2 linked regions of the Ovis aries genome follow. The protein of the gene in region 1 interacts with the protein of each later gene in a pairwise test. Links are inferred from orthologs where the notes say so. Each region holds a gene or a part of one and is shown on either strand. Other genes may lie near its edges.

Region 1 (4,180 bases):
CTTCAAGCTCTGTTGCGTCTGGGGGCCCGGCCTATGGAGACAAATGACACACCGAAACTGTCATTCCAAGCCACCACTGCTTCCTGGTCTTGCCGGAGGAAGGAGTCACAGGATGGGGAGGTGACGCAGGCTATGGATCTGTGCAGAACTCGGCTCTATAAGGCCTTAGCCCGAAGACCACAGATTCTTTGAAAAGTAAAATTTCTGGATCATTATCACTTCTTTTCGGGCTTGGAATGGGACAGACACTCGTAGGGCGACGCTAGGAGTGAGGAGAGGTTAAAATCGGGGGCAACCTTGGGAGGTCAGAGCCCAAAACGCAGAGTGCGCTAGGTCCCAAGACTAGGCAAAAATCTGTTCGGGTGGGAGAGGGCATCACACCACACAAGCAAACATCCCCTCGACCTCAAGGCAGCAGGAGACCCAGAGCATGAGGGGTTGTTTCGTTTTGTTTCAAATGTTTTTGAAAGTGGAACGGACAGGTAGACTCCAGAGAGCCAAGGTGAGGCACAGCGGAGGGCTCGCGGCACCTGGGCCTCTCCGGGACGCATTGCTCACTGAGTACATCCTTCCAGAGTCTCCGCGGCTGGGTCCCACAGCCGCTCTACCAGTTTACCTCTCTGTGCCTGGCCGCTGAGAGATTGCTTACCCGGAATCCCACCCACACTTCTACCACCGATTCGAGCCCAGGTCCGGCCGAGGCGACCAGAAGGCGCCACCGTACAGGTGGCGGTTCAAACACGCCGCCCGGGATCACCCGCACCTCGCCACAGCCGCAGGCCGTGCTTCCCCAGAGCAAGCCAGTCCTGGCTGCGGACAATGGGGTCCCGGCCGGGGTCGAAAGGTGACCTGACCAGCGCCCCAAGGGTCTGGCGGATTTGGGAAGCCTCAGTGCAATAGGTCTGGTGCGCTTCCGGATTATTCTACTAGCTGAACCAGAGCCCGAGGACCCGATCCAGACTAGAGAACTAGGCCTCTGCGGCGTAGTTCGCGCTGCCCCGGGCAGGAAGGTCGACGCCTGGCTTCCCCAGGTTGCCCCCCAAACGGAGGTGCTACAATCAGGAGTCAGGAAGTAGCGCTGGAAGAGTGGGACGGAGACCCCAGAGGACCTGTCGCTTTAGCCCGCTTCACAGGAACTTAAAGCAGACCTGGGACCCGGGCTAGAAGAGTTCAGGGAAAGAAAGAAGTTAGAGCTAGAGAAGTCTCCCGCTTCTCTCCCCAGGGACCCACGGCCTGGGCCGGGAAAACTCGGTTTGCAGGGAAGGCGACAAAAGGGAAAGAGCCGGGGCCAAGGGAGAATGGGACTCAGCTGTGGCGACTCTGCTAGACTGCAATGGTGAGTTTTCAAAGACTTTCTTCAAACTTAGCACTTTAGCTGGGTTACTTCGGAGGAGGCGGGGGAGGGGTGCGGGGCCGCCGCGGAGCTCCGGGGTCCTCCGCTCAGCAAGAGGGGAGCCAGGTGGCTTCCCAGCCCCGCCCCCCACATGCCAGGGACCGGGGAAGCGGGGACCCATTTGAGGGGGGCGGGGGGCAAGAGCCACGACGCGTTCCCAGAGTCCCGGGCGGCCAGCGGCTTTCTCCTTACCTGCCCTCAGCTGCCGGGGCCGCTCACCATCTACCTCTCGCCCTCACACAGACCCTCTGGACGGCCAACCTGCAAAACAGAGCGGCACAGGAATTACCGCGGGCCCGGGCGGGGGGTCAGGGAGCCGCGGGATTTCTTTCTTTCCCCAACTTCCCTCCTCCCTTTCTCTTTCTTTCTAGTGGCTTTGTGCGTGTCCTTCCAGGTTTCACTTTATTGCACAGACACTTTGTTTGCAAAGCCCCACACGCTCCCGACACAGTGCCTCACCCGGGACCGCACCGAGGGGGCCGCAAGGAGAAGGTGGGGGTAAGAGGGGCAGAGCTGGGAGGTGGCTCGAGGTTGCCGTGGCACTCCGTGCAGCGTGGAGGCGGTGGGGGCTGGGGAAGTCCTGCAGAGGCACTTTGCAAACTAAATAAATCAAGCGAGTTACCTTGTCGGAGTGGCTTGTCTCGCCGGGTTGTTTAGGTGATTGGAAATGTAGCCTGATGAAGATTGATCACCTTTCTACTGCCCTCCCCGGGTATGTGAACGCGAGGTGAGTGCGTAACGGGGCTAGGCTGCCAATCCCCGGCCCCGCGCGGGCTGAGTGACAGGGAGCCGGGCAATGGCAGCACGAGCCGGGGGTTACCTCCGCGCTCCCCCGCCCTCCCCCGCCCCCTGCACCCCGCCCTCACCGCCCGCCCGCCCCGCCCCGGTCGCGCGCTAACTCCGGGGCTAGACTGGCAAACGCAGCGCAGAGCAAGACGAGCAAGGCGAGCGCCGCGCGGGAGCCCGGGCCGCGGAGGGAAACGCTGGCCCTGAGGTTGCCCCGGGGCTCCCCGCCCTTCTCTCGCCCTTTTGGCGCCCTGGAGGGAGTGGCAGAGAGGAGGCGAGGTGCTGGAGAACCGGTTCCCTCGCTCTCTGGCACGCCACCCGATGGGCGCGAGGAGCCGGGAGCTGCGGGCTGGAGGGGAACCGGCCTCCGGCCCCTCTCCCGACGCCGCGGGCCCCAGAGTCTTCATGCACCGGGCCATCCGCGGGCCCCAGAGTCTTCATGCACCGGGCCATCACCCGCAGACGCACGCGGCGGGCAACTCGTGCTGGTCCGGGCTACTTTGCTGAGAGCGGGAGCAGACCCGAGCGCGCAGATCCCGCCTCGGCGCCTCAGGACTCCAGTGCCCTTGAGCCGCACCCGCAAGGGAGGCACGGCCACTTACCTGCTCTTCGACGTCTCCTGGAGTTTCCAGTCCCCACGATAGGTGTTTGCAAATCCTGAAAGCTTCTTTTGAAATGTCGGCTCCCAGCGTCCCCTCCCCTTTACACATACACTGTACTTCTGAATCAAAAGGTTTGGATAGAAAACTTTGTCTTTCACACTGGCTCCTTTTACTAGGGGACAATCTAGTGGAAAACGTGGCCACAGACTCTGCCCTCAGTTTCCTTCCTTCATGCCGCCGGAGCCTCCTTGAGCGATCTCCCCGGATAGTTCGTACTGGCGAAGCCCATTTCCCAGTCGAACAAACTTCTCAAAACACGTCTACCTGGGTGGACTTTTCAAAGCGCAAAAAAAGTGTTTGCGCCCCAACGCTGAGTAATGCAATTCTTTTAAATGGCACCTCCTCCTGAATATTAGGCCGACTTTACTTACCCCCTTTCGAGGAATTCCTACCGCTTCTTCTTAATCTCCCCCCCGCCCCCTCCCCTCCACCTCAACAGGCGGAGTGAAAAGTTTGAACCAGAGTAAGTGTGAGGGCGAGTCTAGGAGCCGCCGGGCGCTTCGCAGTGGGGAGCACCGGCGCTGCGGGGCCGCGGGGTAGGGCACCGAGAACGCACCGGGCGCGGGGCGAGGAGGTGGCGGAGAAGGACGGGGGAGCCCGCTGAGTGAAAAGGGGCCGCGGCCGCCGCTCATCAAAGTGCTTCCCCTCCCCCAAGCGACACTTTCCTTTGGAGTCCGAATAAAATACGGTAACAGAATATGATGGAGGGCACACTGTTTCCTTAACTGCTTCTCAAAGAACCCGGGAGATCTTCTTAGGACCTTTAATAAGGCTTTGGTCGGTTCTTTTGTTGATCTCTCAAAATCAACTCCTTCTAATTGAAGTTGGAGCTGAAAGCGAGCTAATGTTCAAAGAAAGTGGCCGCCAGACTAACGAAATTACATTTTTTTTTTTTTGACGATGAGGGAACATCTAATCAAAGGGGCAAAAGAGGAGGGGTGTGGGGGGGGAGTATGAAGGAGAAAAGGTTTTACAAGATCCTTCTCTGGTTCACAAAAGTCAGCGACACGGGCGCTTCTCTCCAGAACAAAGACACCGCGGCCCATTCACAAAAGCAAGAGAAAGAGAGAGCGAAAACAATAAAAGAATGAGAGAAAAGGAAAAACACGAACAAGATAAAGCCTTAACAGGAAAAGAAACTGCGCAGAGCGCAGCGCTGACTCGAGTGGGGACACATATTAGGCTCGCGCAGGCCCCCGCGGGGGAATAGTTCGCGAGGCCCTGGGCTCCGAGCCCCCGAGATGCGCAGAGATTTAAAGCTAGAAACGAAATATAGCCCCCGCCTTCGGTTCTGGGGAAAAGCGCTGACTGGAGCGCACTAGTTTGTCGGGAAGAGTTG
Region 2 (3,648 bases), on another chromosome or scaffold:
ACATCTTGTAGTGAGATACTATGAGAAAAGAAAAATCCAAGAACAGCAAAATAATCCCTCTCTCTTGCTGGTAACAGGCCGCTGAGCAGCCTTCATTCTGCAAGCTCTCTGAAGAGAGTTTCTTTATGGGTATTATACTCCATTCTTGAAAATTCTTGCAGTGACTATCACTGAGCCAAGACTTTGATGCAAAACGCCTGTACCCTGGCTTCCCTGTTGCTCTTTCCTTCTGTTTCCTAAAAAGGACAGAGTAACTCCTTAATAATAGATGGGGTACTATGCTACATGGCTCTATTAATGATGTTTCTGGGTTTCAAACCTTATTCCTGTCATTTATTATTATTATTTCTTTCTGAGAGTGTAGATTTTTGAAGCTGGCAATAGGCAACCTCAGGGCAAAGAAAGCTCTGTAACACATCTCTGTCTAGACATACACTGAAGTGTGGAGTAGTGCCTTTACTTTGGAGTGTGCGAATAAATCATGCAGAATTGTTCATGAATGATTCATGGCTGTCTATATGATGTTTCTGGGGTGGTAACGGAAAAGCACCAACCTTGGTGCAAATTGGTGTTCTAAGGAAAGGCGGCTTGATGCGCTCCCTCCTATGATGCTGGCCTGGCTATTTGTATCATAACACAAGTGCAGTGTATGTGAGAAGTGTCAGGTCCAACTTGTCAACACATTAATTTTGGAAATGACAGTTCTTTCTTGATGATGGGAGGTGCTTCCAGGGAGGAGAGGCTTGGCAATTTTAAAGGGAAACCCAGTGAGTGAGACTAGAGAGATGTATGCCCAGAGGGCAGACCTGTGACCATGTGGCGGTGGGGCCTTACTCCATTTGAATCTCAGGTCTTCTGATCCTGCCTGTCCCCAAGGGCTCGGAGGCTCCTTGAGCCACAGCCGCAGCCAGCTCTTGCCTGGCAGAAAACCACTCTCTACTGATTATTCTAGACCACTGGTTCTCAACCAGGTGAAATTCTGCCCCCTCCCAAACACCTTGGGTACATTTGGCAATGTTCAGAGACATTCTTTTATCACAATTAGGGGTGCTGCTCTTGGCACTGAGTGAATAGAAGACAAGAATGCTGCTCAACATCGTAAAAAAAGCACAGGACAGCTCCCAGTGACAATTGTCTGGCCCCAAATGTCAATAGTGCTGAGGCTGAGAAACCTTGCCCAGGAAGGCATCACTCTGCTGGAGTTATGGCCAAGGCCAGGTAGGAGTGGGAGCAGAAAAGGACAGAACATTGATAATGAAGATAACCTTCAAGGTTCCTCAAGGACCCTACCAGATCTGTGTCAGGGTTTTCAAGACAGGAGAGTGAAATAAGCGACTAGCTATGCTGTGTGGTTTCAGAACTGCTCAGTGTGCACTTGAATCGAGGTGGCATTAGATACCCTGTGTGTGTGTGTGTGTGTTTTGTTTTTTTTTCCTGTTACTATACTAGCAGCATTGCCAGGGCAACCTTGAGACTCTTCAAAGGTTCACTTTAATTGCTTAATATCTAATATATACATTTAAAAAAATGTTCAACAAATGGAATTGTATTGTGCAAGACCCACTCTACCCTAATCTTTAATTTAAATCAGCACTTAAGGTGGAAAGAGTGTCCTGAATCTGTGTTTTAGTCAGAGGGCTGAGTGGTCATTAGTATAACATGGCAAACACAGTCTCATACCAGAAAAACTGCCTGTGTACAAGTACTGGCTTTCAGCCAGAACTGAACTCAAGAGCCAAAAGTGTTCAGAAGGCTTCAGATTCACAGTGGGGCTGTTCACCCTGGTTCTGGTATTTATTGTGCCAGGTGACAGAGTGGGTTTAGAGTGTGTTTTGTTATAAGCTGAAATTAAATTCAACATCATGAGAAAGCCTAGTGTTTAATGTTGCAGTTTTGGATACCTGTCTCCCTTTGGATTCTTTAGTCAAGCTCATGGTATTCTTCACATATTAGTTTTTGATTGGCAGTTTCAAGGTTTTGTGAATGAAATGTGTGGTTTGTAAGAATCGAATTGTGAGCCCTCGCATAATGCACGGAGCATCAGTTCCCCACCTAGCCCAGCAGTGGACCCTCTCAGTGCACCTCTCTCTTCTCCCCTGCACGGCAAGATTCACTCAAGGGGAGTGATTGGCTGCATGTTTTTGCATCTTCCTAATCAGGAAGGGTCCTTACCCTGGCACCGCTTACTGGAAGCTAGTTTGACACAACTCAAAACCTTCCTGTGCAATTAAATTTGGCCCCTTAGACTCTAAAGAGCAAAAAAGGAAGTACTGCAAGAGAAAAATGCCATGTTTACAGAAGAGTAAAAGTGGAGTAAGTCGGTAGATGGTGAGCTGGCAGGCCAGAGGTGTCACCAGAGAAGAAGCCTGTTCAAGGCTATTTCTTTCTTTTTGCTCCAGAAATCCAGTGGTCAAGTCACCATCAAGCAAGGATAATTACAAAAGCGGTTTCAATAGCTGTATACTATGTATATTTTGTATAGCAAGAAAGAAAGAGAGAAATGTCCTCTTAGTAAAATATTCACTTTTGTCAACCCTAAAAGGTTTTGCTGGTGACCCTGTTGTAGCTGGCAGGAGTTTGTTTGTTCTGTCTTGTTTTGAAGATGTGCTGTGTGGAAGCCATGGCCTCGTCTCCTAAGAGCTCGTCGTCGGGTGGGAATCGCCTCTACACAGTCTGCTTGCCTTGGCATTCGCGTTTTGAACACTGAGCAGGCTTCCACCAGTCCCCATTGTGACAGTGACAGATGTTACATTCATCCACTTTCACTTCAATGCCAGCCGGAATGATCGTCGTTCCTGCAAAGCAGTTTGGACCTGAAACACATATATAAGCTGATTAGTTGATTAGGTCTGAGAGACTCCCTTTTTTGTTTCCCTCTCCCACCTCAGTTAAAAAAAAAAAATCCAATCCCCAAAGCCATGAATGAGTAGGTCAGACTACTCTTACCAGCATATCTTTAAGGAATTTTCTAGTCATCTCCCTTAAATGCAAGCTTTTAACTTCTGCTATCTTTTGCACAGAGCTCTTATTCTACATATGTGTCATGCATTAAAAAAAAAAAAAAGTACCAATGCTCAAAAGAGAAAAAAGTCTTAATATCTGTTACTGAGTACAAGCATTTTTTCTAAAGTAAGATATGGATTAAAGTCTATTTGCTTTATTCTCTGAGTGTTAAGACTGCCAGAGTGTCCCCTGAAACCTGAATGAGGGTCTAGCATGGTCAGCATCACTGTCTGTGCCTGTGGCCTGGCCTTTCCCTTCCCAGAGTAGGTATGAGACAGTGAACTTGCTCACTCCCTGGTTTCAGCACCTCCCCAAGTCCAGGGATTCCTGGAATCCCCAGCCTGTTTCTTGATAATAATGAATAATTCATGACCAGATGATTTATTCATGTCCCAAACAAACTTTGTTAGAGGTTCATTTGATTTTTATAAAAAGAGTTCTTTTAATCTGCTGGCTATCTAATATATATATATTTTAAAGAATGACTCAAAGGGCTGGCTTTTGAAAGTCAGCAGGAATTTTACTTTTTCAGATTCAGAAAAACTTTGCTCAAAATGTCACTTGCTTGTTATAGATAAATGTGTTTAAAATTCACCAATCTTTTTTTCTTAACTTCTTGTCTTTTCCCCCTTTCCCTTACTTTCC

The links. The genes of interacting proteins can lie anywhere in the genome.
Region 2: the proteins of OTX1 (region 1) and VWC2L interact in binary tests that used the Homo sapiens proteins (3 or more experiments, as listed by UniProt). The two-hybrid records come from large-scale screens. The link is inferred for Ovis aries from reciprocal best matches to the Homo sapiens genes OTX1 and VWC2L.

What each region holds. Positions count from the first base shown.
Region 1 is NC_056056.1:45,201,421-45,205,600, forward strand, and holds the start of OTX1 (homeobox protein OTX1), read right to left. Parts: upstream 2,891-4,180; 5' UTR 2,782-2,890; intron 2,095-2,781; exon of another isoform or gene 2,016-2,094; intron 1,655-2,015; 5' UTR 1,586-1,654; intron 32-1,585; 5' UTR 1-31. UniProt on the Homo sapiens protein: Probably plays a role in the development of the brain and the sense organs. Can bind to the BCD target sequence (BTS): 5'-TCTAATCCC-3'.
Region 2 is NC_056055.1:216,577,665-216,581,312, reverse strand, and holds part of VWC2L (von Willebrand factor C domain-containing protein 2-like), read right to left. Parts: intron 2,814-3,648; coding exon 2,665-2,813; 3' UTR 1-2,664.